Arabidopsis thaliana: one gene and its partners. The protein of the gene in region 1 interacts with the protein of each later gene in a pairwise test. Each region holds a gene or a part of one and is shown on either strand. Other genes may lie near its edges. The genes, in order: NAC012, MYB105, HTA13 and AT2G28200.

What was found.
Region 2: the proteins of NAC012 (region 1) and MYB105 interact in a two-hybrid assay, tested with the Arabidopsis thaliana proteins (one large-scale study listed by BioGRID).
Region 3: the proteins of NAC012 (region 1) and HTA13 interact in a two-hybrid assay, tested with the Arabidopsis thaliana proteins (one large-scale study listed by BioGRID).
Region 4: the proteins of NAC012 (region 1) and AT2G28200 interact in a two-hybrid assay, tested with the Arabidopsis thaliana proteins (one large-scale study listed by BioGRID).

Annotation. Positions count from the first base shown.
Region 1 is NC_003070.9:11,861,460-11,869,708, reverse strand, and holds NAC012 (NAC domain containing protein 12), read left to right. Parts: upstream 1-2,554; 5' UTR 2,555-2,758; coding exon 2,759-2,945; intron 2,946-3,040; coding exon 3,041-3,306; intron 3,307-3,742; coding exon 3,743-4,366; 3' UTR 4,367-4,480; downstream 4,481-8,249. UniProt on the Arabidopsis thaliana protein: Transcriptional activator of genes involved in biosynthesis of secondary walls. Together with NST1, required for the secondary cell wall thickening and lignification of sclerenchymatous fibers and secondary xylem vessels (tracheary elements).
Region 2 is NC_003070.9:26,154,078-26,161,947, reverse strand, and holds MYB105 (myb domain protein 105), read right to left. Parts: upstream 4,247-7,870; 5' UTR 4,242-4,246; coding exon 3,770-4,241; intron 3,694-3,769; coding exon 3,325-3,693; intron 3,242-3,324; coding exon 3,042-3,241; 3' UTR 2,854-3,041; downstream 1-2,853. Other genes in the region: AT1G69570 (Dof-type zinc finger DNA-binding family protein), read left to right, coding at 1-177. UniProt on the Arabidopsis thaliana protein: Probable transcription factor that involved in boundary specification, meristem initiation and maintenance, and organ patterning. Functions in both lateral organ separation and axillary meristem formation.
Region 3 is NC_003074.8:7,225,789-7,233,228, reverse strand, and holds HTA13 (histone H2A 13), read right to left. Parts: upstream 3,840-7,440; 5' UTR 3,758-3,839; coding exon 3,569-3,757; intron 3,476-3,568; coding exon 3,266-3,475; 3' UTR 3,083-3,265; downstream 1-3,082. Other genes in the region: AT3G20690 (F-box and associated interaction domains-containing protein), read left to right, coding at 547-1,659; AT3G20680 (plant/protein (DUF1995)), read left to right, coding at 2,066-3,082; OCT4 (organic cation/carnitine transporter4), read left to right, coding at 4,719-5,130, 6,790-7,440.
Region 4 is NC_003071.7:12,019,314-12,027,532, reverse strand, and holds AT2G28200 (C2H2-type zinc finger family protein), read right to left. Parts: upstream 3,594-8,219; 5' UTR 3,213-3,593; coding exon 2,352-3,212; 3' UTR 2,163-2,351; downstream 1-2,162. UniProt on the Arabidopsis thaliana protein: Probable transcription factor that may be involved in stress responses.

The DNA of each region.
Region 1 (8,249 bases):
ATTTGATTAGTCATTGCAACTACGTGTGGATGTCACTTTCTATTCAACCAAAACTCACAATATTATATGATCTAGTTTTGTCGTATTACTGATTTGTATTATAAAATGTTATTTAATTTGAATTCTACGTAGATATTGCTCATGCATGATAGTATGTATCTAAACTATTCAAATAACTAACTACGTGGATATTTTATAATCCAAGTAAAAAGCAGAAAGTGGGTAACTACGTCAGTATGACTATACTTTTATCGGAATTGCTTGACATCCAAACTTTTGCTATGCTTCACCAACCAATGCAGTTTCACTTAATTATTAACTATTGACTATGTCTTATTAAGTTAGCACTAATTCGTTAATCATTCAAAACGTTATTTGATTGAATTACATATTACACTCTCTTTCTGCATCACCACTCACACCATATGCAACTATAACCAACTCATCACATTCAAATGTATTAATTGGATTTTGGTGCGAGATTAAAAATTGAAAGGAAACAAAATATGATAATGGGATAAAATCTTGAACGGAAACTCAAACTAATCCTCATAAGGTATAACAAAATAACAATTTAAGCTAAGCACAACAACATACAAGTTCGACCTTTTCCTTTGATGATCCAGCCCAACAGTTCTCTTATATCTCAAACCATTCGACCATTTGAGCCAAACTAGCTAAACCTGCAGGAATCAAAACCAACAAAGATTCAGATTAGCTAAACCGGTTTCATCCCTTTGTCACATGACTCACATCCGTCTTCTACATAACGATTTCTAATGATGTGAGCTCTTAACTTGCTCCAGCAAGATCATCAACTTTGGAGCACCTTCAATGATTTAGTTAACATGTTAGATAAATTAAATATTCTTGTTTCAATATATATCAACTTTAGTGTAAAAGCCTTAACATTCTCTTGAATATTTAATTTATTTCTCCTTATTTCGATTTAATGACAAATGTGAATTAATTTTTGTGATATTTTTGTTCGAAATTAGTTTTCAGTTAATAACATACATGTGAGCATGGGACACACATGATTTAACAAAAGGGAATGACGAAATGATATATCAAAATATTAGTATGGGAACAAATTACGAGGTGAAACTTCACACTCAACTCAATTAAAACTAGAATAAAGAAATGGAAAAAGTGAAAGAATGAGAGGTCAAATGTGGTTAATCATTATGTGGTATTAGTTAATCCATCAATTGTGTACCCAAAAGCATGATTAAGCATAGAATTTAGAGAAACAAAACATCATTATTAATGTTGAAACACAAAGATCCCATCAACAGACAAATGATAAGTACAGTGCATGTAGGGTAACAACTTTTATGTACATGTTATATACTTATATTATATAATAAGAAAACGATTAAAGTGTCATTGCTCCAGCCTCTATTTGTAAATCATATTATATCAGTATGCTTAATTCCAATAATTAAGTCCATAACTAAAATATATACACATATATGTATGTTAAATGGTTGAATATATACATATATTTTCATAAACAAATATTGCTAATTAATTCAGTTATTTGTGTACATAATCCAACTATCACCTTTTTAGCTGGAAGTGGATATTCCAACATGTCAGTCTGTCACTCCCACATTCATACTCTCTATTCTTTTTAGCTATTTCAATATCTACGGTTAAATATTAATGGCTATATAGCCTTACCCTTCATTTTAGTTTTTTTTTGGTATTCGCATAACCATCGAATACTCAAACTTACTATGTAAGATGGTCTGAATAACTATTTCCGATTTAAGATGAATAGCTAGATTGAAATATACATGCACTAATTGGACATGCACTAAAGGCAGAGGTGAATTAAATGATGAAATGAAGATGAAGTGTCACACTTGTGCAAAAAGCATGTCCCCTGCTCTTCTCCGCTTGTTTCAATTTCTTTGACTTTCATCACGTTTTTGTCACTTAAATACACCAAAAAATATAGTACAATTAAACATCGAAAATCGTCCAAAAAGAAGAAAAAAAATCATGGAAAGTTCTTTCGTTAATGTTACACACATTATCTTGATTAGGTGACACCAGATATTAGAATAAAAATGATAGATTATGAAAAGAAAAAAAAAATTGATGTATTTTTAGGATACATCGAAAGGAATGAACATACCAAAAACATGGGAAAAAATAGATAACTAATTAACATGGTAGAATGTAGATGACGTAGATCATGAAACGAGTGTGTGATATATTAATGAAAATTATTTTAATATACGTAGCTATATTAGAAAATAATTTACATTTATTTTCTTCTAAACAAATCTATACTTTATATTTACATACATTAGTAAAGACCAAAACACATGGAATTCAAATTCTGCAATAAGTAATTGCAAGAAAACACAAAGATTAATCCCCCACTAAACCCGTTTATTTACGTTAGTATTTTTCCGTTTTATACATTACACATGACATGACATTACACGTCAAAAGAAATATGTCTTACGTCAGAACTTACGTATGATCAAACTCGATTTAAACATAGAAACATCTGTTTACTAAATTATACTAATTTCATAAAGACACTTTAATGCATGAACTTCTTTGTTTAAATAACAATTTCCCCCTTTTGGGGGCTATGTCTCGTCGAGTCCTACCACCATTATAAATTATCTCATCGTTTGCTTTCTTTTTTTTAAGTTGTAACCATTTCCACTCGTAATCATACAACTTCTCTACTCTTCTAGAGCAAAAACCCAAAAATATATTGCTATCTTCGTTAATGGCTGATAATAAGGTCAATCTTTCGATTAATGGACAATCAAAAGTGCCTCCAGGTTTCAGATTCCATCCCACCGAAGAAGAACTTCTCCATTACTATCTCCGTAAGAAAGTTAACTCTCAAAAGATCGATCTTGATGTCATTCGTGAAGTTGATCTAAACAAGCTTGAGCCTTGGGATATTCAAGGTTAAACCCTAAATATGAAAAAAAACTCTTTCATTTCTACGAACTCTCTATTTCTTTGTTCTTTATTTTTGAACCATTTTGGTATGCAAATGCAGAGGAATGTAGAATCGGTTCAACGCCACAAAACGACTGGTACTTCTTCAGCCACAAGGACAAGAAGTATCCAACCGGGACCAGGACGAACCGGGCAACAGTCGCTGGATTCTGGAAAGCTACCGGACGTGACAAAATCATCTGCAGTTGTGTCCGGAGAATTGGACTGAGGAAGACACTCGTGTTCTACAAAGGAAGAGCTCCTCACGGTCAGAAATCCGACTGGATCATGCATGAGTATCGCCTCGACGATACTCCAATGTCTAATGTAAGTATATATAGCAATCATCAATTTGCAGTTTAGGTTAGAATAAACAAATTACAAACTTATAGTCAAAGAATTAGCTAGATTCGTTTCATGCTATAAAAGGTTTTGGTTCATTTAGTACGCACTAGAGCCTTCTTTTAGCATCTGCAATTAAAGTAATCGAACATGATTCTCTGAGTTACAATAAGATAATTTCTTATGAAATTAACACATCATATATACATTTATATAAAAAGATTTTTTCACAAGGCTTAAAATAGTTTAACACGGCTCTACAAACAATACGTAGTTAACTAGTTATGGTTGCATATCCAAAAGAAAAACCAACATAAAAGATTTTTTTTTTTGTTTCAAAATAAAAGTTGCATTTTTACATCATCAAGATTTAATCATCTCTTATTGCATTTCATAAGATCGATTTGTGTTCCATTATCAGGGCTATGCTGATGTTGTTACAGAAGATCCAATGAGCTATAACGAAGAAGGTTGGGTGGTATGTCGAGTGTTCAGGAAGAAGAACTATCAAAAGATTGACGATTGTCCTAAAATCACTCTATCTTCTTTACCTGATGACACGGAGGAAGAGAAGGGGCCCACCTTTCACAACACTCAAAACGTTACCGGTTTAGACCATGTTCTTCTCTACATGGACCGTACCGGTTCTAACATTTGCATGCCCGAGAGCCAAACAACGACTCAACATCAAGATGATGTCTTATTCATGCAACTCCCAAGTCTTGAGACACCTAAATCCGAGAGCCCGGTCGACCAAAGTTTCCTGACTCCAAGCAAACTCGATTTCTCTCCCGTTCAAGAGAAGATAACCGAAAGACCGGTTTGCAGCAACTGGGCTAGTCTTGACCGGCTCGTAGCTTGGCAATTGAACAATGGTCATCATAATCCGTGTCATCGTAAGAGTTTTGATGAAGAAGAAGAAAATGGTGATACTATGATGCAGCGATGGGATCTTCATTGGAATAATGATGATAATGTTGATCTTTGGAGTAGTTTCACTGAGTCTTCTTCGTCTTTAGACCCACTTCTTCATTTATCTGTATGATTATCTATACATACACATACACAAAATATAAAATAAAGTTTGTTAAAAAATGTCTCATGTTCTATTGATAGTACGTCTTGATTTTGGGGTTTAACATTTGTTAATGGTGGAGGGTAATTTTTTTATAATATTTATAATCATAAAATTTACGAAGTTAAAGAATGATATTATATACAAAACTTGAATAACGACTCTTTCAATTGCTTACTAAGCTATTTTAGAAGTCATTACATTTAGTTCTTTATCTTTGACTATTAAAGCTAAAAGATGTCCAAAAAAAAAAAAAGCTAAATGGTAGAACTTTTCACATCCCTCATCTTTCATTCTACATTTCTTACATGCCCACTATTGAATTTGAATCCAAATTATGATACGAAGATTGCCATATTTGTACAACCACGAGAATATATGTTTATCGCTTAAATCTTTTGTATTTGCGAATCATAAAGCCCATAGGCCATAGTGAGAGTTAATATTCGGTAAATTTGTACTTTGGTTCAAACGCACATGGTGAATCCGTATTTTATAAAAAACTTTCTAAATTAATAATGAGTTAATGACAGAACTATGATGTATATGTTAATTTATAGTAATATTATTTTTTCTATAAATTTCAAATCTCAAATTTTTTAATTGTATTATCATTTAATATTTTATCTTAAAACTAATTTGAAAAATATGAGTAGAGAAAATTGATCTTAAAAAAGTTTACTGGTTTGGATATTATAAATTTTATAGTTCCAACTTGAACATTTTGATATTTAAAATAAAAATCTTTTGATGGTGAATTAGAAAGTCTATACTCTATAGAATTCACTTATGCAAAAGATATATATATATATATATATATATTAAATTAAAAATAAAAATCTTTTGATGGTGAATTAGAAAGATATATATAGTCTATTGAAATGAAATGATACATATTCGAAATTAAAATTAAAGATTCTTAGATTAAAATAAAAAACTGAAAGAAGTTTTGGCTATTTTGATGACGAAGTTATAGACGATACTAGTTAATACTATATTTTGAAAACACAACAAAAATAGAGATGAAATCTAACGTCAACTTTTATTTATTTATTAAACAGCTAAAACTAATACATTAATATATTTTGAAAAATTATTACTATTTTATACATCTGAATTTTTTTATTTTACAATATTCCTATTCCAGGAATGTTTTATAATATTTCTTAATTTTGTGAATATTAATTTATATGTTTTACTGTATAAAAAACTAGCATATAACACGGCTATTTTTATTAGTTTATCTGGATAAAGTATCATTGTCATTTTGATGAAGGACTTGTATAATGAATGAAGTGATACTTATTTTGACTTTCATCTAAGTAAAGTGTACCAAATAATAACGCAGCGTAATAAGATTCTCGCTTCGCTATAATTACTTCACCTTTTGGTGCAACTATGTTATTTTTTCATTTTCGTTGGAAAATCCTCATGTCGTTTTTCTTGTGCAAATACGACAATCCAATTACCACTTATCAAATTACGTAACCAATAGTTTTTTTTTGTTTTTCTTTTAATTTTCTGACTAATATTACTAAAAAAATAGTGATGTTATCGAGAAAAGTGTAGAAGTAAGCATATTGGAACACACAAAAATGTCTGAATATAGTTAATTATACGGATCAAGAATCTCGTTAAACGCAAGATAATGGATCCAACTTGGCTCGATTAATGAATTGGAACAATGTCACTAATGAAAGAGGCTACAAGACACGATTCAGTTAAATGCAGTATGACAGTGCATTGTCTTCAAATTGTATATACGGAGACTTGCATTGGGAGATTGAACATTAGCTTGATACTTCAGCATGTCGATGGAAAACATAGCCATCAACATTTTAGCAATCGAAGTCCGAGTGAGCTGATTAAATTTGAAAAGGGCATGGGACATTATATTGTAGGTGGTAAAGCAACCATATACTTCAACCTTAAGTTGTTTCTTATTTTTGCTTGATAAAAATAACAAACCATATATACATCATTTCCCTTCCAATACACTAACAAAGTAACAAAAATAATTAAGATGCTTAAAAAATAAATATTATTACAGGAATTATAACATTCTTATGAATTTTAATTCCTTCTTTTTTGAAAGAGAAATTTGTCTAAAAGATTTGAAAGAGAAACCTAAAAATTTCCATTCAAGATAATTTAAGGGAAACAAAAATTATGAACAAAATTTTACCTAAATTAATATTAATCTATTTTTAAATATTTGTTTTAAATTTCTCAAATATTTTCAGAAAATATATTATTTTCCCAACTAACTTGTAATTTTCAGTAACTACAAATTAAGGAACCCGTTTATACATTCACTGTGAAAAATGTCGTTGAATTTCCCTACAATTACTATTTTTTACAACAAAATAAATTGAGGGTCATAATTCTGTCTATGATCCGAAATTATTGATTCTGGAAAATAATTTGAAACAAACAGATGGTAAGTCATAATCTCACAAACTTTTGTCTATATTGACTCTTTTTTCCAAAATAAAAGAGTTGTTAAATAGTTTTCAAACGTTTTGACAAAAAAATAAAATAATAGTTTTCAAACTTTCTGATTAGGACTAACATTAGCCTATCTATGAAAGCAATCTCAAATTTGGGTTATGCCGACAGATATTCATCACACAGCCTCTTGACAAATATTCGACCACATATCTTCGACTTTATACATTATAACCTGTATAAATTAACATTGTCAGACACAAACAATTTTATGCTCTAATTTGATAATTGTTGTTAAAACCTATGTTTTATTGCCTTTTAAAAATATTTGAAAAATAAAATTGTTGGCTAGTGATTTACATTTGAAATGTGTATTTTTTTTCTATGGGTATAACCGTATAGCATAGCCTACAGGGAAGAGATCGATTCTTTTCAAGAGTCTGATTTTTTTTTTTTTTTTACTTCGTACGTTGACCACCCATAAACATCTTTAACGGCAAAAAAATAATACACGGAATCTATGGGCCATGAGGATTAATTTGGGTTTTGGCCTAAGATTCAAAATTGTTACCAGAAAAAAATATATTAAGTAGTCATAATTTACAACTTACACGGACTAAATAAATTATATCAAACAAAAACCATAAAATTGACATAATGTATATTAATCACTAATGTTCTTTTACTTCAAATAAATGATGTAAAGATTTTTAAAGGCATATCAAATCACTTAGCTATCGCTTTTTTTATCCCTTACAGAAATGACATTAGTATCCACAAGTGATGAATAATTGAAATCACTTTTGTATGTTCATCCTTGGTCAATTTCAAGCAGACTTGTGCGTTCGGAACAAGGTTTCTATGCAAAAGGCTCAAAATGGAGTTCAATACTTCAATTAGTCTCCTGATCTGGTTTTCACATCAATACTCAACTAATTCGTCTTGATTTTGTAGGAGCTAAAATTAGCAAACATTACGTAAAGGCAATTGAAATCAAAATCACAAACATTAAGGAAAGAACATGAGATGAGACGAGTTGATGAACTCTTCCCTTAACCTTTTAAATCACCCGTAGTGTGACAGTTTCTGTGTGATTTAAGGATCTCAGGATACAACCTCTATAAACTGATTTTGCATCACTCGAAACTCAACTCTAACGAAAATAGTTACTACGATACTCTCGAGACTTACTTTTAACAGAAAGAGATTGTTGGAGCTTTTGCTATTGCTATTTGTGTGTAACTATCAAAGACTTCACTGTGTCTCTCCAAGACTTGAAGCATGACCTATTTATATAGGCTTGAAATACTTAGGTTTTTAATTTGTTTCTTCACAAAATCAAGCAGAAATCTAGGAGGTGGATGACGTGAAGGAATAACCACTCTCTCCATGAATCCTATTCTCA
Region 2 (7,870 bases), about 14 Mb from region 1:
TCTAAGTTACCGACAAAACCCGAGAAAAAAACGCAAGGATTCAGTTTGTTCAATGGATTTGACACAAAGGGAAACAGCAACAGAAGTAGCTTGGTCTCCGAAACTTCTCACAGTCTACAAGCAAACCCTGCAGCGATGTCTAGAGCTATGAACTTCAGGGAGAGCATGCAACAATAATCAGACACTAATATAGATATATATTCATGAACTGAGAGATTTGAGTTTGGCTAATTGTTACCTTGTGGAAGAAGGCAAAGCTGTGTAGATAGTTTTGTTGTTTGGAACTAAGAGTAGATATAGTATTTACTGTTGTACACAAACAGAGATATTTTTGGAGCTGTAGATATTTCTCTCCATTGTGTGATGAAGTTGCAACATATATAAACCTTTAGATTAATATCTACGTGATCTATCTTGAACTTACAATTACGTTTTTGCCCATGAATCATGAGATAAATATTATCTCAACTCCAAATTGTCCTCTCTGGTAAATACATGTCAGATGAGCATGAGGTACCAGACTATTAGCTTGTACGATTTTGGTACTTAGTGTAAATGGGTCAAACTAATCTAAGATAAGAGATAAGAAAAGAGGAATATGAAACCAAAGAAAGCAGAGCATCTTTCACTTTCATATTTGGATTAAAGAGAAGAATCCAACCACTGGCACTGAAAAAAAGCTAAAAGAAGAGCATAAAAGTCACTTTTTCTAAAAAGCAATTATTCTTTTTTTTCCAATGTCTTTTTCCATTCTTTTTGCACCTTCACTAATCTTTTATACTACTCATTTTGATTATTACTTGATATGTTGTAATGTTTCTACTTATTAGTATGGATACTTAGCTTGTTGCTCTATACCTATTTTTATAACCATGTAATTCCAAGATTTGGATCATAATCATTTGAGATTTGACACCAATCTTTGTTAATACTTTCGAGTCTTCCATGATCATGAAACGTAAATATAATGTCCTTTCAAATGAGACTTAAATGCAGATTACAAAACTTTAAAACAACAAAAATATTACTTGTTAAACTGTCAGCATTTAAATCTTTCGATTGTCTAATAATTTAATAGAATTATAGCATATCACATTTTGAGAGGCAACCCAAGTTCATGTTATATAGTTGATCTCATATACTATTCTTCCACAAAAAGTAAATAAATGTTTTATTTGTTTTTGAGCTCTACAAATATGTGAAAATTAAAGGTCCATAAAGACTGGTTCTTTTAGCTGCACAAAAAGCTTAAAATCCAGTTACGTTTAAAGAATAAGCAGGGAGGCTACGCATGTTCTTTTCCCAAACCGGAAGACTGTTCTAAGTTGTTGGTGAGTTCTCATTTTTAACAATGGATACCGAAGGAACACAAAAGTTTGAGGTGCTCGAGTGGAGAGAAAGAATAAAGAATAGAAATGTACTTGGAGAGCAAATACTTAAAACCATACGCAACATCGGTAGCTCAAACATATAGAAGGGTTTTGGAAAATTCGTTACCAAGGTCTAGTCATCATAAAAATTGCAAATGATTTATTAACTGGAATCATTATTATCATACGACTAAAGACTAAAGTTATGAAATAGATTTCTTAAATGTGAAAGAAAGGAATAAAGTTAGGTAGACTTTGTAGGAGGCCACTCAGCTTTCACCTGGACCATACGTATATGTTCTCGTAAAGTAGTTCAGCTTTTTTAAGGAAACAAACAGAAAAAATTGTTTTCTTTTTGAATAATAAAAGAAAAAGAAAAAGTCATGAATATTTAATTATTGGATTACATAAGGAACTACATTAACATGAATGTTCCTTTGATAGAGGTTTTGGTTTGATATTTACTTCAACACTTATCTGTTTTCGACGTTTTGATTTAAATTTTAATCAACCAATATATACGTTATTGCTTTTCACTTATCGTTTTAAGAACATCTAATAAATTAGAAACAAAATTGAGATATTCATTCTATATTGGTACTCTCTCGCTCGAGAAATTGAATCACATCGGTTAACATAAAAAAAGAAAAAGTTGAAACACTTCCAAACAAAACTGAAATTGGGTCCGAGAATGGGCCTAAGCCTGGAATAGCAATAGATTTTAAGTGGTGCACATTGCACACTCCTTACCGTTTTATCCTTTTCTTGTGGATCTTATGGAACCTTAAAAAAAAACAATTAACAACGGGAAGTGTTTAGTGAAAAACGGTATTACATAAATTTAATCTTAATTTCATAAATCAATCAATTATTTCGATTTAGTCATAGAAATGTGTTAAGCTGGACTAAAACTACAATGACGTATACAAATAGTATCATGATACAAATCAAATGATTATTACAATGAACAATAACTAGGAGAAGGGGCCATGTGGGTGACATGAGGTCGATGAGACGCATAAGTAAGGGGCAATGAAATGAAAATATGTTTTTGCTTTGGAGAGAATAAAAAAATGCAATGGGTGTGAGAATATTAAAGAGTGGATGTTTGGACTTTCTGTTGCAGAATCTGTGCCTGAATCTTGCAACCTCATCAATATCGCATGTTGTTATTAAACTTCTGCATACTCCAAATAAATACAATGTAGTACATTATTCCTTTTAATTTGACTTCTCTATCGTTCTTTGTCGTTTCTTATATCCACATCATCGTCCCTGTTTTAACATATGTCACCTTCCTCTTCATATACGAAGCATGTTGTTACTCTCACTCCATACAATTTTTGGACATTAATGACGGAATCTGACATTTTCATATAAGATAAGAGTTAGTTAGAACTATAAAGTGGTACAAATGTTTTACACTTCAAATCAATTTTGGTAAAGGTGAGACAATTTGGCATCTACATAAATGAAAGCATTGATTTTAACCAACGAGTGGTATATATGTACGTGCTAATTAACACGGGGTAAGGAATGTTGCATGTGACTAAGGACAACAACATTTAATCTACAATTATTAACGCAACATAACTACATCGACAAGGACTCAAATCATCTCATAACTTTTGTTAACTAACTCAAGCCAGTCTTGTTCATGATCGATGATGATCACACCGTCCCCAACCCAAGAAAATCGAAAAATGGTGGTTTCTTCTCCTCATTGATTCTTTCAAATATCTCACTCTTCCCGGTTTGGTTTAAGAAATCGAATGTAGTTGCCTCTTGTGTCCATGCAATGTAATCGCCAACCATCATTTGGGTTTCGAACATATCCACCATTAATGGACTCTCATTTTCATGATCATAACCTAAATAGTACAAAAAATGGAAGAAAATTAAGAAATGATATGGAATTAAAAACTGAAAGAAAAGAGAACACAAAAACTCAAACCTGGGAAGCAAGGAACTGGTAACATAAGCTGCTTATGGTCACTACTAGCAAGGTGGGTCAAAGCTAACCGGGTAGGGTCAAAATCATTGAAAATGTGAGGATTAGGGTTAATGAGTGGCTTAAGAGAAACCATCGTCTTCCTCCTACGGTAAGAAGAAGATTGTTCCCTAAACTTGCGAGCCATTATAACATGCCAATGGTTCTTCACAGAATTATCAGTCCTACCAGGGAAAAGCCTCGCTATCATCGCCCATTTGTTACCATAAAGCCTATGAGCTTGCATTAGCCTCTCTTCTTCTTCCTCAGTGAAGGCTCTTCTATTTATCCTTGGGTCTAGTTGGTTAAACCATCGAAGCCTACAGCTTTTCCCTGCTCAACATTAACACCCAAAATCTCAAGAACGTGAATCTTGTAAAAGCTTAATCAAGTGACAGAATTAACGTACCGGATCTTCCTTGGAGCTTCTCAGCTATGAGGTTCCAGTTTTGTGGACCGTAGACGGCGACTAGTTCTTTGAGCTTAGTATCTTCAGCTGGTCTCCAATGTCCTCTAGACACCGAAGCTTTTGACGAGTGTCCACAGCTTCTATAGACTGTTGTGTCTTTCTTGTTGCAATTACTGTAATCACTTAGATTAGGGTTCATGTCTTCTTCTCTATGACTTGTGTAGTAGCTACGGAGATGTTGAGCATTGTCGATATTTAAAGAGAAGTAGTCCGATGAAGTGGTCTGATCCATCGAATGGTGTTGATCTTCCGACATGATACAATGTTGTTGTTGGTTATAGTGATGATGTGAGGACGAAGACAAAGAAGACGGGAAGCAAGGTGTTATGGAGAGAGACGCCACGTCAGCATGCACCATCTCCATCCTCATTGGAGGAGAAGAGCAAATATTAAATATGACTTTGAACATCATAATTGATATTTGTGTGATATTATTACGTATGGCTCTAAGCTATGTGCGTGTATGTATATGTTGTGACCTTGTTTTCTGACAAAATGCTGTTATACAACTGTTAAAAGGTTCATGGACTGTCACGGACTGATTTGAAAGCTGATATATATTTCTATACATTTGTATTTATGCATTGTAAATTGTTTTCAACACTCAGTTTAATTTACATTCTAGATATTTTAATTTAGGATTATTGTATAAATAGTATTATTATCTCTGGTTTAAGTTATAACCAAATAGCTATAATCTACATTTACAATAAAATCCAATAACATTTTCACAATAATTGTCACTACTTAATTTTGAAAAAACTAGGAATGTGGAAACGTATAGAGATGAAAGAAATAAATAAAAATGCTAGGACAGAGAAAGAGTAAAGGACAGGGAACACGTTTCCTACGTTGTGAGCAGTGGAGATGTGTTTGGAAAAGTGGAGAGAGATGAAAAGTTGTTAAACATCCGTAAACATCTTTTTTTTTAGTTCAACTGCTTTTGTTCTTTGTTGCCCCAAACAAAACATCATATTATTCTACGATTGCTTGCCAAACAAAATCTTGGTATTATCTTGTTTGAATTTCGAACTATGAATATGATCTTCTTCTTTTTCTTTTTTGTTCAAGTAACAAGGCGATTTCACCCCAAGTTTTAACTATTTTCCGCTTGATACATATGAATTAAGCGTTAGGTATTCTTGTCATTTAATACATTCATAGTGGTCACTGCTCATGCATTATCAAAGTTTTGAATTCTATCTCACAACCAATTTGAATTAACCACTAAACCATCACAAATTGGTTGTTTATTTGTTTTTCCTTTACAAAGAAACCTACAATTTACAGAATCTTTTTTTTTTAAAAAAATAATTAATGATTTTGTTGTTGTTGTTGGTTGCTACCGAAAATTGGAAATAGTAATGAGGATGAAACTAAACATCTGAAGTAGTCCCAACTATAACAGCCAAAAAGGCTCAAAGCATACATTTGATTTGACTCTTGCGTCTTTTATTTTCTAACCACAATTATATCTCTCACGCACACTTCACATGTCTTTTCACCAATCCCCATTTATCTCTCACTCTCGACATTTTGATGGTTTATATGAAACCCTCTTTCTACGTACATAGCCGGTCTCTTCATAATGTGAATGTTAATGATCTTCCCAAACGAGTCCGTTTTTCATATAGTCTTGACTACTTGTTGCCATATCAATTCTACCATTTACTGATTTTAAAATTAACTATCCAACCATATGTCGCAGAATTCGCTGTTATAAATCATTTTTTTAAGGGATCGGCTAGACTTATTAAGTTATTATCGTTAGAATTTCTGTCGCAATATGAATATTCATAACACCATAATGCAATTTTAAAAAAGAATGTAAAGTATTTCTTTTTTTATTATTAATTAATTGTGCAGCTATAAATGCATATACGAAACATATATTATCCCATATATACAAAGGAAATACCTAGGTTTGGTGAGACTTTAAGCATAACGTAGATGTATTTATTTGACCAAAAAGATATCAATTGGCAGAGGAATACATTATCTCAGATTCAGAGTATTTGCTGCAGACTTGTACGGTCCATCTGCAGAGATTAACTCAACATTTCCTATGGTCCTTTTTTCTTGGTCAATAACTTTGAATATATACTTTCTTAATTTACACTAAATTTGTGTCATACAGTAGATGTGAGAATGGATAGTTACTTTTTCAAAGATACGCACTAACAAAGTAACACTAACCATTAGCAGGTTAATTAAGGATATCTACACCCAACCCAATTACCTTCACTTTTATTTTGTTATCATTTGAAAAGAAAAAAAAGTATATGTTATCTACTTATTTAAGTTAACAAGTATTTTTTATTTTATTTTTACAAGTTTTCGGGGTTCGTTTATAAAAAGCCATTAAAAAAAGGTGTTGATTTTTTTGGTGACGTCTGTTTCAATAACTGTAGGGGATAGAATTATTAGAATTGAATTTTCAGTTTTAAATGTGGAACATATACAATATATAATGTCGGGAAAGGAAACAGATTCAGAAATTAATGCATAGGATCCAATTCATATCAACAGAGAAATGTTTTGCGAGTCTACTGTGGTTCATTTTCAAATATGCGACACCACGAACTGATTTTATAGCGTACCATGTTCCATCAATTCAACAACACGTACGTGCATGCTCTGCTCCTCATTTTACTATACCTAAACACACGCACATTGCTCAATTATACATCGATCATTTCGGAGCACATAGTGACATAGCCAACATAGGCAATAGCTAGTTTAATAGACTAGCTTTGGGTCTTACTAGGCACAAAGCCTCATCAAAATATAATACGGAGATTTTAAAAAACAAAACTATGGAATTATTCTACAAACTTCATAGACTAGTTTAGAGTTCCCAAATTCCATAGGTTACAAAAGTGTCTTGTAAGTTTTTATACTTAAAGTTAAGAGTTTTCAACTAGCTTTCGCTAAAATCGAGTTTAGTACGTTTCATTTGATTGGATTCAACCTGCTTTTGGTTTAGGATGATTTCGAACCGACCGAAAAAACTATACAACATGGTGGATTGGACATTAAAACAGGAAAACAAGTGATGATCGCATAAATGAACAAGAGACTGAAACAGGAGGATTTTTTTAAAAACAATGTGGACATGTACACGAAGAAGACTCACTGTTCTTAGAGTCAACAAAAACCTCATGATGTGAAAGCTAACCAAATAGTAACAATCTCTCAAATATGGGAAACGAATTCCCTAAATATAATGACCTGTCTATTATCATAGCCCCATTGCTCTATTTTGGGAAATTTTATAACCTTTTTCTCCTCAAATCATCACCAACACAACCAACAAAAAATGTAAAACCGTACCTTCAATCAACACTATAGATGTTGTGGCCTCATTCATTACATTCAAATACAGAACTACGTATATGAGTTGTCACGTAAAGGAGCAAGAAATTTTAGCCTTCTTTAAAGTTTTCACCTAGATTATACATTTTTTTGCAACATTTTTTTCAACCTGGTCTAGAGAGGTTATAATTTTTACCGACAACATTCCAAAGTTTCAGTATTCGATCGGCAATAGATATTTGCATGAAATTGTGAATAAATTGTTGGAATAAGCAAGCTGATAATCCGTACCAAAAATTGAAGAAGCATAAGGAGAATAAGTTTAAGCAAAGAGGCTGAGCAAAGTCCTTCAATGAGACTAATTTTCTTTCTTATTAATTTAAACAATATTAATTAATTACCATTATTAGTTTCTTTCATTTTAAACACAAAAATTAATTCTAATTTTACTAATTAATTTCTCTGTGATATTTATGTATTGCTTTTCAAATATTCAAGTAATGTTTTATATTATAAATTAAATTCAAGTACTGTTTTATATTATTATGTAAATTGAAAATACAAAAAATAATATAACTAGACTAATTTGGTAATTTGGTTTTCTAACCACACTCAAATCGCATCGAAATCAATTTGTCATTCAAATATGATGTACTCTCATCGCAAATAAGAAAAAATACATTACGGCACACATTACACATAAAAGCCCATAATGTTACACTTTGA
Region 3 (7,440 bases), on another chromosome or scaffold:
GTGTTATTCTGTTAAACCTAGTGATCTTCATGGTGTGATCAAACTATAAGCAAGAGTGTGAAACAGAGAAGCGAACACGCAACGCAATGGATCTTAACTTTGCAGCTATACACAAGTGACATCATTACCAAAACGATAACAAATCAGCTCCTCATCATTGCTTCACTCACATAACATCAACTAATTTGACAAAACCAAACGAAGGTAAGAACTAAGAAGGATTGGTCTTTAAAAACTTTTAATCTTTGAATTTAACAGCAGGGTTTAGGGTAAACCGACCCAAACCGATACCAAAAATTTTGTTTATAACTCAATCGTTTTTGTGCCACGTGAGCGGAAGGATAATACGTCCAATGGGCTAAAAATAAGAGTGGCCCAATAAACAAGGATGTTTGAGAGTTTTGTGTATTTCAGACAATTAAATACTAGGGTTTATGTGTCTTCAATAACAATCTATCGATAGTCTGAAAGAAAAGAGTTTATGAAAGTTGACCTAACATCTGCGCCAAATAGATCAATCCTTGTTCGAAATTTGAAACAGCGACGATGATGATGTCCGATCTTCCACATGATTTGGTGGAGGAGATTCTCTCTAGGCTTCCGTTGATATCTTTAAAAGCAATGCGATCTACTTGCAAAACCTGGAACGTTCTATCCAAACATCGGAGCTTTGCAAATAAGCACATCGGCAATGTAACCGCATCAGGGAAAAGAGATTTGATAATGATTAAAGATTGTAAGGTTTATTCAATTGGCGTCAATCTCCATGGTATTCAGAACAACAACAACATTATTGATCTATCTATAAAGAATAAAGGTATTCTTCACCTAGAAAATTTAGATCTAATATTCAAGGAAATATTCAATGTCTTTCACTGCAACGGTTTATTGTTGTTATACGGAAGCATCACTGATGATAGTATTAGGCTTGTGGTTTGTAACCCGTATTGGGGGAAACGTGAATGGGTCAAACGCATAAATAATTTTGCAAGTTTTGACAAACTTGCTTTCGGATACGACAAATCTTGTGGTTGCCACAAAATCTTAAGGGTTTTCGATAGTTACCCTAATAGACTTGAAATCTACAATTTGAGGTCTAATTCACGGATGGTTTCTAGTTTCCCTCTTAAATGGGATATAGCGTTTATGCAAGATGGCGTGTCTTTGAAGGGAAATACTTACTGGTATGCTAAAGATAGAAGATCAGAAGATTGTTATTTAATATGCTTTGATTTTACTAGAGAGAGATTCGGACCGCGTCTGCCTCTACCTCAACCCTTCATCGATGAATTTTTGGGGAGTCTATATGTGGTAAGAGAAGAGAAGCTTGCGGTGTTAGTAAAGCGGTGGCGGGGTGGCAAATCTGAGATCGATATTTGGGTTACGAACAAGATTGAGCCCGATGAAGTCTCGTGGAGCAAGTTCTTAAAAGTTGATAACACACCAAGATTTTTTCTGACTGAGGGATACTTGATTTATGATGAAGAGAAAGTCGTAGTGTTTTTTAATAAAGAGGAGACAGAGGGGCTCAAATCCACTGTCCACATAGCTTACATCGTTGGAGAGAATGGTTATTTCAGAAGAGCGGATCTCCGTGAACCTCTATATCAACCACTTTGCCGTCTTGTGTGCTCTTATGTACCAAGTTCTGTGAAGTAGTCTCAAAACAGTGGGTCTCGGTGACTCTCTATGCACACCAGGTCCTATGTGTTCTTATGCTCCAAGTTTTATTCAAATCAAGTTAACCAGACCTATGAATTAGTCTTCTTGCTTTCATCTTATTTTAATATTAATTTGTTTCTCATCTCTTTATGCAATTATATAATGAAGATTTATAAGTTATCAAATTACAAAACAGAGAGACAACAAGTGACGAGCAAGGTACTTTTGTTTAAGCAATTCCTTTGTTTTGTTTACTTTATTTTCGGTTTGGTTATATAAACCGACCCAAACCGAAATCAAATTTTCGTTTATGTAACTCGATCGGTTTTGTCTCATTTCTTATTTGAAGTTTTGAACAACCTTATCCTCTTTCTCTTCTCTTCCTCATCATCAGAGATCAGCCATGGCTTCTTCGACTCTCTTCAAACTCAATTCACAGACATTCAAAGCTCTAAACCCATCTCCTCCTTCGTTATCTCCTCCCAATTCCAGAATTTTCCATCTTCATTTCTCCAAATCACTCTCACAACAGCATTCAAAGCTCAACCACAAATCAACCACTACTCGTTTATTCGCTCCTCTCTGTTCCTCTCTTCCTTCACCTTCTTCTTCTTCTCCTCCCCTTTCCAAAGAAGAAGCCATTAATCAAGCCAAAACTTGTCTCCTTTCATGTCTCATCAAACCCTTAAACAACCCAAAACTCGCTTCCCCAAAACTCAGGAAGCTCAAACAACCAAGATTCCGTCTTGAAATCCCAATCCTTGACGATGATTCTCCTTCGTCACTCTCTCAGCTCGCTTTCTCGATCTTTCATGACTTACCCATCTCGAGAAGAGGCTCTAATGTCAAGCTTCTCTTCCTCTGGCCTAACCCTTCATTCATCGATCCCGCCGTTAAAGCTTTCCGGTCAGACTCTATCCACCACATTGCCATGTCTCCGGTCTCAGACTCTCTTAAAACAGCTCTGAGATCTGCTGACGTGGCGATCTTCATGGCTCCGGAGAAATCGCAGCTGGAGGATGTTAAGACCGCGAGTGAAGCTTTTTCTACAAAACCTGTAGTAATGATCAATCCGAGATGGTTGTTTGAAGAAGAGAAAAGCTTTGGAGATGGCTTTATTGGTTCCTTTGAAGTGATTTATGCGTTCACTGGCTTAGAAGTGAGAGGAGTGTTTAGTAAGAGAAAAGGAGTGATCTTTAAGTGTGTAAGAGACGGTGTTGTGAGTGGAGAAAGATGGAATGTTCTCGTTGAAGAAGAAGAAGGTAATGGTACTTTGAAAGTTGTTTCACAATTCAATTCTCGACCATCAATCGAAGAAGTTGAGCTTGTTCTGTATAACTTGATGGCTATGAATTCTCCTATTACCAAATCAGCTAAGTTTCTTAGTGATTTGGTTTCAAATATCACTGGGAAGAAGTAGTTTGTTAGGACTTCAATGTGTATTGATTGTGGATTCAATTCAAAATAATAAGATTTTAATACTTGTTTTTGAAGCAAAAGAGAGACTACACAACACCATTAATGAAAACTAATTCAGATCTAATCTAATGAAAGACTAAGCTACACATTAATTAGCTAAACAACCACAACACAAATCCCTAATCTAATCTTCATCAGCGGAAGGTTTTGAAGCACCAGCTTTCTTGGGAAGAAGAAGACTGTGAATGTTAGGCATCACACCTCCATTAGCAATCGTCACATCTCCAAGCAGTTTACTCAGCTCCTCATCGTTTCTCACCGCGAGCTGAATGTGACGTGGCACAATCCTAGTCTTCTTGTTATCCCTAGCTGCGTTTCCAGCCAATTCCAATACCTACAACACAACAGATCCAATTTAGAAATTAGGGTTTTACGAAATTGAAGATCGAAAGAGTAAAGAGATATAGGGAGAGAAGGGGATAATTACCTCAGCGGCGAGGTATTCGAGAACGGCGGCTAAGTAAACCGGAGCTCCGGCACCAACACGTGTTGCGTACTTGCCGTTCTTTAGAAAACGAGCGATACGACCAACGGGGAATTGGAGACCGGCTTTGCTGCTTCTCGATGTTGATTTCTTAGCAACGCCAGATCCGAGAGTTTTGCCGCGACCCGCCATTTGTGATTTGGGAAGAGAGATAGAAAAAGTTGAAAATTCTCAATGCGAGGGAAATTAAGATAAGCGTAAGAGGACGCTCTTTGGTTATTATATATACTGTGTAGAGACGGTTGAGTGATTCTTATCCAATAATAAACAATCACGCGGATCGATGTTACTGCCGTTGGATTAGATTATGATCGACGGTTTATAATTGGCACGCTTGAATTTACGTTTTTATACTCCTGAATTCATTGTTAGAATTGGGATTGACGGAAATACCCTTCAGTGGGTATAATCGACATGATTTAAATAGTGAAAATATTTTGTAACTCAAACATATTTTCGCAAAATAACTACTAAAATAGTAGATTAATGATATTTTTAGTTTGTTAATTATACACATCTAATTTTAGTGAATGTTATGAATAATTTTAAAATTTATGAAAATCTTACTTTTAAAACGTATAATATGGAAATGTGGTATATACATTCATCAAAATTGTGTGACACAATTTCAGGTTTATCATAGTATATATTTTTCTAAACATGATTAATCAATTTTTAGCATGTCGTATTAATTACTAATTCACGATTACACATTAGGTAATCAACCATATATAGAATCATGTGTTTTTGACTTTGAAATGAAATGTACAATACTAATTTGAGAAATAATACATGATGTGTCTTACTAATTTTCAAAGTGACAACTCATAAACGTTAATAACATGACATAGTTAAAATATATATAAGCAGAGCATGTAGTCAATATCGTCAACAAAAAAAAATAGTTACTAAATCAAAAGAGAATAAAAAACGCTAGAGAAAAAAAGAAGGAAAAATTGTTTTCCGATAAACAAGAGATATAAATACGACAAAGAAGCCACCTCCTTCTTCGCGTCAAACCAAATCAAGAACGCCTTTTAAACAAAAACACAAACACAAAAACAAAAACACTGTAAAAATCAAAACATAAATTATGGAATCTCCGGAGGATAGAAACGGTAACGATGTCCGACAACCGCTGCTAGAGAAAATTCCGGTGAAGAAAGAAGCGGAGGGAGAGGAGAGATTATGCATAGATGAGATGTTACAAAGATATTGCGGCGAGTTTGGGAGGTGGCAGTTGAAACACTTCGTGTTGACGTGTATTGCTTGGGCTTTAGAGGCGTTCCACACGATGGTGATGATATTTGCCGATCAAGAACCCGAGTGGAGATGCGTCGGGTCGGATTGTCGGGTCGGGTCATTGAACTGCGAGTTGGATCCGAGTTCTTGGGAATGGACGGCGGGTAAAGGGAGCTCCACGGTGTCGGAGTGGGGATTGATTTGCGGCGACAAGTATAAAGTTGGTCTTGTTCAGGCTCTCTTCTTCGCCGGCTGCATGATCGGTAAGTTTTTTTTTTCCCTTCTATATTTTTTTTGTGATTTAGGAAAATTACAAAAACAGTAAATTACAGCTGTAGCGTGAAAATGATTTTTTTCACGTCGAATAGTTTTTCTAATTACAGTCAAAAAAAGAAGATTAAACTCTAATCTTGGATTATCTTCTTAAGAAAAATAAATAAATACATAATTAGGAGTTTAGTATAGTTTCTGAGTGTCTTATCTAATTCGATAAGACAAAAAAAAAAATCATTCTAAAATTATGAACTTGTAATTTAGTGGATTTAGCTCTTTACGTGATTATCCGATAATTAATGAATATATCAACAAACAATAAATTAGTTGTTAGTTGTGTGCATAACTTAGCTAGTGTATATCGATCGCACCAATAAATTAGTAAGAGCAGATCAATGGGCACGTTGGCTTGAATCTGGATATTCGTACCACGTGCCTTGATCACATGAATCTTTTATGATTATCCGAATTTTAGAAAATAACACTATAGAGTAAAGATATACCTCACTTTTTTTCCGATATACCTTTCATTTCTATAGTATATTATAAATTTTGGATGATAATGCTTTAAAATTTTAACCCATTAGGCGGTCCAAGTTTACACACGTAAAAAAAATGATTGGCGAAGAAGAAAAGATAGACTTTGATAGGTATGATTGGTGCCAAAAAAAGAAAACAAAACTACTAAAATGACCCAAAAAAAATGTATAATATACGTGTGACTGACTAACGAGTTGATCACATTATATATTATCTTGTTCGCTTTTTTGGTTTAAAGTTATAAAATTCCTTCTTAATTCGTTGCATTGATCTGTAAAGTCGAAACACACAAATCTCTCGCGGCATGGCTTGCCCCTCTGGCCTTGTCTGCAAATAAACATTGGGTTATACGCTTCAGACTTAAATCATGATTCTTTTGTCGTAAAAACATAAGTTCATCCACATCATTTCATTACTTTAAAAAAAAAATTTGAACTATACTTATTGATGAAAGTTTGAAATATGTTTGACATCCCGTAATTGTTTTTACATCTACTTATGGTCTTGGTTAACACAGTATTCGTTAGCGTTTATATGATGATATTAATGAATGATGCTAACAACATTCACGTTCACATTTGACACAAACGAGGCCAAAAACATCTTAACTACATGTATAATTGCACAAACAAACAAACAAAATGATCATTATAATATGACCCACCTAAATAATAGAAAAACCAACAGTTGTTTGCCTTATTTTGGCTAATGTTTAGATTACTTTATAAAAAAGGACAGTTTGGCTCTGGATTATCCAATCTCTACATTTGATACACATTATACAATGAATAGGATATACGAAGGAATATCCAATTAGAGTTGCATACTAGTCAAAAATTTTACATGTAACTGGCATGAAGACGTCATCTTCCATGGTTGAAGATATCGTTTTCATGTCAACAAAAAAAGATTGTGAAACATTGGTCCAACATATCTCAAAAAACAACTTTATGTAGACCATACATGCGTTATGGTCCCGATGAACTTACCAAATCTTTGATAAGTCTTTAACCAAAGTTTAACTACTGTATACCTTTTTCTGATTACATTTTCTAATTACAACTTACAAACATGGCCTAATGATAGTGTACCGACTCAATAATGTGCAGGTGCAGGAGTATTCGGACATTTATCGGACTCTAAGCTAGGAAGAAAAGGCTCGCTAACAGTTGTATGCATTATCAACGCAATCTTTGGTATCGCGACAGCTTTCTCCCCAAACTACTGGACCTATGTAGTTCTCCGTTTCTTGACTGGTTTCAGCACCGGTGGTGTTGGCCTAACCGCGTTTGTCTTAGCCACTGAACCCATTGGACCGAGCAAACGCGGTGTAGCCGGAATGTCAACTTTCTACTTCTTCTCCGCGGGCATTGCAGTTTTATCCGGCATCGCTTACGTTTTCAGATCGTGGAGGGAGCTTTTTATAGTGTCATCGTTACCATCTCTCTTGTTCCTACTCATTGTTATCCCATTCATATCCGAGTCCCCAAGGTGGTATCTCGTGAGAGGCAAAGTAGATGAGGCGATGAAGCTGATGCATTCGATCGCTAAAACGAACGGACGTCACATTCCAGCTGGTGTCACTCTTGCTTTAGACGACGATGTGGAAAATAACAACGGGGAGAGGAATACCGCTGTTGAGGGTTCGCTGAAAGATGTTATACTGTCGCCTCTCATGCGGATGAGACTTGTCATTTCGGTTGCCATAAGTTTCACAGTCTCTATTGTATACTACGGACTAAGCCTCAACGTAGGCAACC
Region 4 (8,219 bases), on another chromosome or scaffold:
GCTTCAAGCACCTCCAAATATCCAACCATCCCCTGATCTTTCTTGAGCTACTTTCGATTTCAAAGGACGACCAAGTAGCCTATGAGCTTCTGCTCCTAAGAACGTGTGCAACTGCCTAAAAGAAGTCCAATTATCATACCAAAATGAGTCCTATCATCATACCAAAAGGAGCATGATTTACCGTCACCCACTTTGGAAGAGAGAAAGGTTTTGGCCAAGGGTCTTAGCTTTAAAAGCTGCTTCCACATGGAGGAGCCTAGATGCTAGACTCCAAAAACACTGCTTTCTTAGCTTACAAATATCCAATGCAATGCTAAATCGAACAATAGTAAGTAAATTATTGTAGGATAAATCAAAATACAATCAGAGACCTTAATCAAAATAGTTAAATTCACACTAGAAGTTGTATATATTTCTGTAGAAAGAAATGTGTTTCTATTAATAATTCTAGATAAACATAACCGTCGACTAGTATGCTAATCGAACATTTCGACTCACCAAAAATGTGAAAAAAAAAAAATGTTAGTGGAAAAGAGTGTGATACTTAAGAGTAAAAATAATACTACAATCATATTTAGACTCGAGTACTATTGGACTTGTGGATCAGTATGAAAAAGTATCGCTTTTAGTAGTTATAGTTATGTAAATGACACCTACTTATATATACATTTGATATATTTTTCTGACTTGGGTTTTTATATATACATTTGATATCTTGACCACAAATATATATTACATATATATGAATATTAGTGATTTAGCGAATCATGAGAGTCAATGGTATCCACCTTTAGTTTCATTGTAGCTCTATAGTTTTTTCACTAATCTATAAAATAAATTCCTAAAAATAGAAGTTGTATAAAGAAATTCAGATCATGAGAGAACAAGAATAATTATAAAATAATTGCAAGAATAAAAGTTGGATCATGGATACAACAGCAAGAATAATCCTAAAAGAGAAGGACTGGAAGCAAGGAGTGAAGCGGTGAGTGAATCTTGTGACTGTTTCTGCTGTCACTGTTTATCTTTTTCCTTTCTTTAATTATTTGATTTCTGCTCTTTTTTCTTTTTCTGTTCTGTTATAATAATTGTTAGTCTGTCATAATTGATTAAAATAATTCATATATTTATAAAAGTGTAAATGTGGTGACCAGAAAAAATAACAACCCAAAACCAAAGAAGAACCTAATCCACGTCTATTTAGTTGTGGTTGTGATTCTCTTGCCAAACCCTAAGCCGGTCATCACCACGTCCATCTCGTGTCCACTGCCTTTCTATTTATTTATTATTTTTGTATCAATTCACAATAATTTTACATGATAATGTTTTTCTAAAATTTTCTTTTTTTGAAAATATGAATTCAAACTCGTATATACAAAATGGTAATGAAATGAGAATGATGAGGAAATTCTCAAACTAGCATTGGTCCTTATAGCATAAAGTCGTAACAGAGACATTATTATTATCTCTGCAAAGTAACAAAAATAGTTAGATATTTTATTAGAGTTTTCTTTTCTAATAATCAGGTGTATTCTAAGTTTAATCTTAAATAATAAAAATTGAAACTATTAAAATCAGATATTTTATTGTCACACTTTTAAAGGGACCAACATATATGTCTATTGGACCAAAAGTCCAAACTAATCTCCATAACCTTATAAAATCAAATAGTTTTGTCACTCTAGACGTCTACAGTAACTTATCATAGTTAAAAATTGCAGAAAGAAAGTTTGAACTCTCGTCTTCCAAAGTCATACGTTACCCATATGACCAAAAAGTTGATTTATATTGGAAATATTTTCCTAATCTTTTTTTCTAGATAGTTTATGCTATGACATATTTTGTTGCCAACGCAGAACACCACACCACGATACAGCGTTTGGCTGCAAACGGAGAATCTAAGTAATCGTGGGAAAAGAGGCGTCTTCAAGTAATACAAATAGTTGCTTCACATGTTCAAGAAAAAAAACAATTTTAGTAATTCATAATTTGCAAATTTTGTTAAATAAAATAAAAATAACAAAAAAATACCTTAAAAAGAGGGAAAGAAAAGATGCCTTGGAAGTCACTTACTTTTCGTGAATGAAAGGCAACCATGAACACTAACCACTTGCTTACTCAAACTATTCTTACTTCAACAAGTAGATCATCTAACTATCACACAACCCTTTACTTAACTCCCACTATATTCCTCTCTTTCATTATAACTTGCACATTTCATTTTCCTCTTTTCTTAAAAATGATAATATTTGATTCAATTTAAAAAAAAAATAATTCCAATGATCAACAATATAGTAGTAAGTAAGAAGAATTCACAAATATTTCATCATATTATGTAGTAAAAAAAACAACTAGTAATGACAATCTATTAACGCTGGTGTTGCTGAGAATACTATCCCTTGAAACTTTGACTCTCTTAGATCATCTTCTGGTGCTGGTAGATTAAGATCCAACGGTAGATATTTCCTCTGCTGTTCCATCGAACGGCCTATATTGATCTCAATCTCTTCCTCTGTACTGTTTCTGCTTACTTCTGCGGTGGCTGCAACGGGGCTAATCGTGGTTACGGCTGTCCTGTGCCGCCTCATGTGACCACCGAGAGCTTGCCCGGAAGTGAACTCAGAACCGCAGATGGAACACTCGTGTACTTTGTTTGCCTTGTTGATGATGTTACTTGCCTGTGAAGCTAGGGCTGAGCCGGAAACTTTGAAATGACTGTTTTGCCCTTCTTCTGATGCACTAGACTTGGGTTGCGTCAGGGGTAGTCTAGTCTTTTCCTCAGTCGACGTCCTCGGCTTCTTGTGGCTCGCTCTGTGTCCACCAAGTGCTTGGAACGACGAAAACGTCCGGTTACACGTTTTACACTCGTACACATAGAAACTAGAATTCTCCGACGAAATCTTCTGATGAATTTTTCTCGAGTTCTTGAGATCCGGCGATGGAAGAACTGTCCCACGAGCTAACATGATGAGACAAATCGCCATGTCTTCTTCTTCTTGCGTACAATCAGTAGTCACCGGAGACGAAACCGCCGAGTTGTATTCATCTGAAACAGCTCTTTCTCCTCCACTTCCACCGGCCGATGAACTTGTTGAAGTCACTGTTGTCGCCGCCGTCACCACAAACGTCGAAGACGATCTTTGTCGCTTCGTACGTTTCCCTTTTATGATTTGCGTCTGATCACTCCCAACCTCATCTTGACCCATCATCATATCCAAATATAGTAAGAAAAGAAGACCAAAACCCAATTCAAGAAACAAATCAAGAAACAAACCCAATTCAAGAAACTTCGAAATTATGGAGAAGAGAATGAAATCTTTGGTGTTTATTATGTGGAGTGAACTAACAAGAGAGAGACAGAAGAGAAGAGAGAAGAGAGGCAGTGAAGAAGACGATGGTGGGGCTGCTTATATATATATTTATCGGAAAAAAAAAGAGAGAGGTTATAAGTTTGGTGGTTGTTAATCTTTTTAGTTTACTCCACAAAAGATTTTACACATCGATCCACTTTACATTATTATAATGTTTTTAGCTAACCAATAACATTTTGACGGTTCACTCTATACCCATTACCTGACACTTCTGCGTTTTCTCTGCCAAATTCCATAACAATAAAATCAATCAACAAATTTATAATTCAATGATGAAAAAAATATGACATGTAAATAATTTTTCTTCTTTTCTAGTTTCTGTTCTGTTGTATCTACTTTTAATCCATATCTTCAAAATCTGATCTCTACCTAGATCTATATACCAGAAGTCAACCCTTCATGACGTTTTTTCATTTATTAGTATTGTATTAGACAGCTTCTTCTAGTACATACTTTCTAATAACAAACATATTAATATCAATTGGTGTGATTAATCAAACTCTTGAATCATTCATATTCCATAATTAACAGAGAATTGTTATTAATTCCGAGTGAAAATGATTAATATTGTTTCAAGCAAAAGTAGGAGAAATAAAAGGGAAAGTGAAACCCGTGAAGAGTTAACCACTGAATTAGGCAAAGGTTCATTAGTAGTGTTGAGTGGCACTTAGGCCACCAATTCACGTTTTTGTTATTTGTTTTTATTTATTTAGTTTCGAATTTAATTTTTGGGAGTGTGAACATTCAGTTCTAAGGACAAAGCAAAGGTTTTACTTTCACGCACTTTAGGTCCACGTCATCAAATCGACGCTTTCAATGAGAACCGAAATAGATAGAACTAAAGATAAAAATGTTCACGACAGCAAATAAAAAGAATATATTACATATTATTAATGGTCGTGACGACTACAAGAAAACTTTTGATTAAATGTTTTGAAATATACTAATAAGATTATCAAAGGGAAATAATGATTCACAGACATACATGGTTCATAATTAGGAGGCGACATGCAGTGGCCGGTGTTTATAGGATTAGGTGCATTCATCGGTGGCATGTTAGGCTAAAAACAATATTAAGCTTAGTCTTTGTTAATGTGAAGAGACAACACCACGACTTTTTTTTTTCTCTCATTTTTTAATCATATCTTGATTAACATTTGTAGAGAGAGTTGAAAGCTAGTGCTCAATTGGTTATCTACTAATCTTAAGACTGGAAACAGTTTTAAGATAATTAGAGATCTATTTTTACAATTGAGATTAATTAACATACTCAAATTATAGGCCGACAAAAAAAAAAAAAAAACATACTCAAATTATAGAAATTTTTTATGTAACATTACTTTATTGTCAAATATTGGAATGTTACATTTTTGTATGGACAAGTGACAACTAACCATTAAAACGAGTTTACACGGTACATCCAAAAATAATACTTTATAGATTATAGAATAAGTAATCTATAGAGAAAAGTTCAAAAAAAAAAAAACTATAGACAGAGAATAAGTTATGTCAAGATTGAGAGACCGGAAAATTATGAAGTTTAGGGACCTCAAAATAATTATTTAATTTAGCTAGGCAAACTAGATTAAAATAATTTATTCTGGAAAAATTATACACCTTTTTTTGTCAACATACTTTCAAAGTCTCACAGTGGGAGATTGAGGCTTGAACCCATATCTATGCATAAGGTATAATGCATAGTGGCTAAACCACACCACAAAATCCTTGTCAAGGACTCTTTTTAAAAAACAAAAATCCCTGTCAAAAAAAAAGAAAAGAAAAAGAAAGAAGAATAATAATAAAATATATTTATTTTTAACCACTTCTAAATATTAGTATGATAATCATATCACTTACTTTAATTTTACAATCAAATTTTGGTTTATATTTTTCATAATAAATATTTTTATAGGATCTAAATATGGATTTTGACTAGAAAAATATAATTGTCTTTACTTCAAATTGGAAAAGAAATGTTAGAGTAAATTCATTTTTGAAGGAATAATAATTATATTAAAAAATATTCTCTTAAGACAAATGGTATAGAAATTTATATAAATTTTCAAGTGGATATATATAACATAATTTTTGGGCTAAGGAACGGTTATGTGTGGGATGCAAGTATGTTACATACACAAAACCCATCACTTCTTTCCTTCACCGTAATATTTTGCTAATTTCATGCAACATTTTGACTTTACATAGGGATTGCTGCTCCCATATATAATATGTGTGCCACTATGGACTATAAATACTCATGTTTGTTTTTGTATTGATGTATGTGTATGCAACTAAAAAGTGTTACAACTTGCCACTGGAATATACCAATTTATACCAATTAAATGATTACGATTTTGCATTATATTTACTTTTTCTATAGCCGCAAGTATTAAAATTTAATCTTGATAGAGAAATTAGACTTATTAGTAAGTCGTACCATATAAATGCTACCGTTAAGCTATAGTATAAAAGAAAGGACCTAGTTATTTTTATTAATAAAGATTTGATTAGGCGCAATAATTCTATAACACGATGAAATGATTGGAAGAAGTTACTCTTAATCACGTTGGGCTATTCCAAACCTTATTGTCTTGTACTTAAAGTGGCCCTCACATCCTTTGCACAACAATTTAATAGATACACTCACACATGCATATTCATATTAAAACCATTATGTATTTAGTGGTCCTAACAAAACTAATTATATCGGTTTCAGTTTTACAGTCGAGACGATACACAACCATGTACTCATTACGTATACATGTTTAGATACATAATGAGGAAATAATTGAAATGATTTGGTTGCTAATCATAAACAAGAAAAAAAAACAGTAAATAAAAAATTAGGAGACAATAGAAGAGATGCATGATGTTGCGTAAAGCAACGACACCAACAGATGTGTGGCTAAAAGCAATTAGTTTTTTACTCACCGCGTTATATTTCCTAAAACATAAATTAGTATCCTCTCTATAATTTTACATAAATTGGATTTCTCTGTTTTAATTAGTACATTTGGTGAAATGTTAAAATATGGTACAACGTATAGACTATAGCTCTATAAAAATTATTATAAGAAGAAAAAGCCGTTTTTGCTAAAAAAAACATAAAAAAAATAAAGCAAGTGGAAAAATAGCTAGGACGAAACCAAGTGATTATGAATTTAAAGATCTTAAACAAGGGATAAGGATGGACTCATTCCCAAATAAGATCAGCACTCGAAACACAGTGGATGGGAACGAGCTTATGGTTGATAGTTTTAACAACTTTACCGGCGCTTTTGCATCGACCATGGGTAATTCATCCATTTGAATTTATCCATCAAGTTGTTTGCGCTTTTATATTATCATAACCAAACATCCTTAGAGTTGGTCGAAAGAACAAAAATTAAATATAAAAGATGGCGTTAGATAAGAATCTTCTAAACTATACGTGCTAATTGATTCACCTAAGGTAAGGTACTTCGGTTCGGTTCAGTTATTTCGGTTTGATTTTTTTGTCCCAAGCTAAGGTAAGGTATACATGGCGTTATAAAATTTGTCTAAGCTAAACTATACATGGCATGACGAGATTCTTCCAAAAATAATGGATGATATTTAACCAAACATATATATATACTCCTATTTAGTGTTTCTTATTTTTAAAATAATTAAATTAAAGTGAGTTTAGGTTTGCAACTAATAGTTATACGCATGTCAATTTATCACATGCTCAAGGATCAAAGCAACGTAAAAAACTATTCTATACTATCATTTATTTTCATGTTACATATATATACTGAATTTTTGAATTTTTCAGTAAACTTTTAGTAAAATGTCATCACTAGCTACTAGCTAGAATTAATAGAATAAAAATCTAACACATAGATAAATGGAGAAAACAATTTTTATTCCACTCATTCTTCAAATATAGTAATCTAGATCAATACATGTTTTAGAGCCGGAATTCATATTTAAGAACTTATTTGTTTTAACAATAATTGAGTTCGTGGCGTCCTTCTATATACCTACGTTTTATGGTTTAACAAACTATACGTAGAAGTTTAAACTCACCAATGTCTATTGTCTAGTCGAAGTCTTTTTGATTAAGAACAAAATAAAAATAAGACTGAAATAATGAAAGAACAAAGAAATAGATAAATATGACGTACAATGTTGAAGATACTAGTATACAAGAATAATGTAAGTTAGCAAAACAGAGAGAGAAAGAAATACTTAGCGTAAGAAGACAAAGGAGAAGGAAGTGTGAGGCACGTAAGGGTTAAGATGCACCGCCGCCGCATCTTTAGTTGTATCATCCAACCAATTACACAACTCATTCCACTTATTTTTCTAAATATATGCTTAAAAAACATTTTTTTCGAGAAAAATAGGTTTAGAAACAACTATATTTAATCGCATGTAAATGCTCAATACTACTAGTTTATTTCGACGGCCAAGACGAGTTTAGGCTACTGATTACAGATTTTACACAGTTGGTTAGTCTTTGTAATTTTTATTTTCTTTTCGCGTCTAAACAATCGTTATAAAAATTTAAACGATTTTGAAAAATCTACAGTAAGTTATGGTATAAATATTTTATTTCTAAATAACAGCCAACTCCTTTCTAGTTTTTCATAATTATTTTATCTAATTTTAATTGGTTGGTATGAGTCTGGCATTACATGTGACATAGCTTCCAAGTTAGGATTAACCAAAAGATCTTATTTCTACAAAACCGGATCCAACCCACTCTTTCGCTTGCTTTACTTCACTTGCAGGTTGTTGTTTTCCTCTCAATTCCCATAACAAATAGTATAATTCTATCTTAGTTTATATGTGGCTCTTATAAAAAAATCATTTATTAGTTGT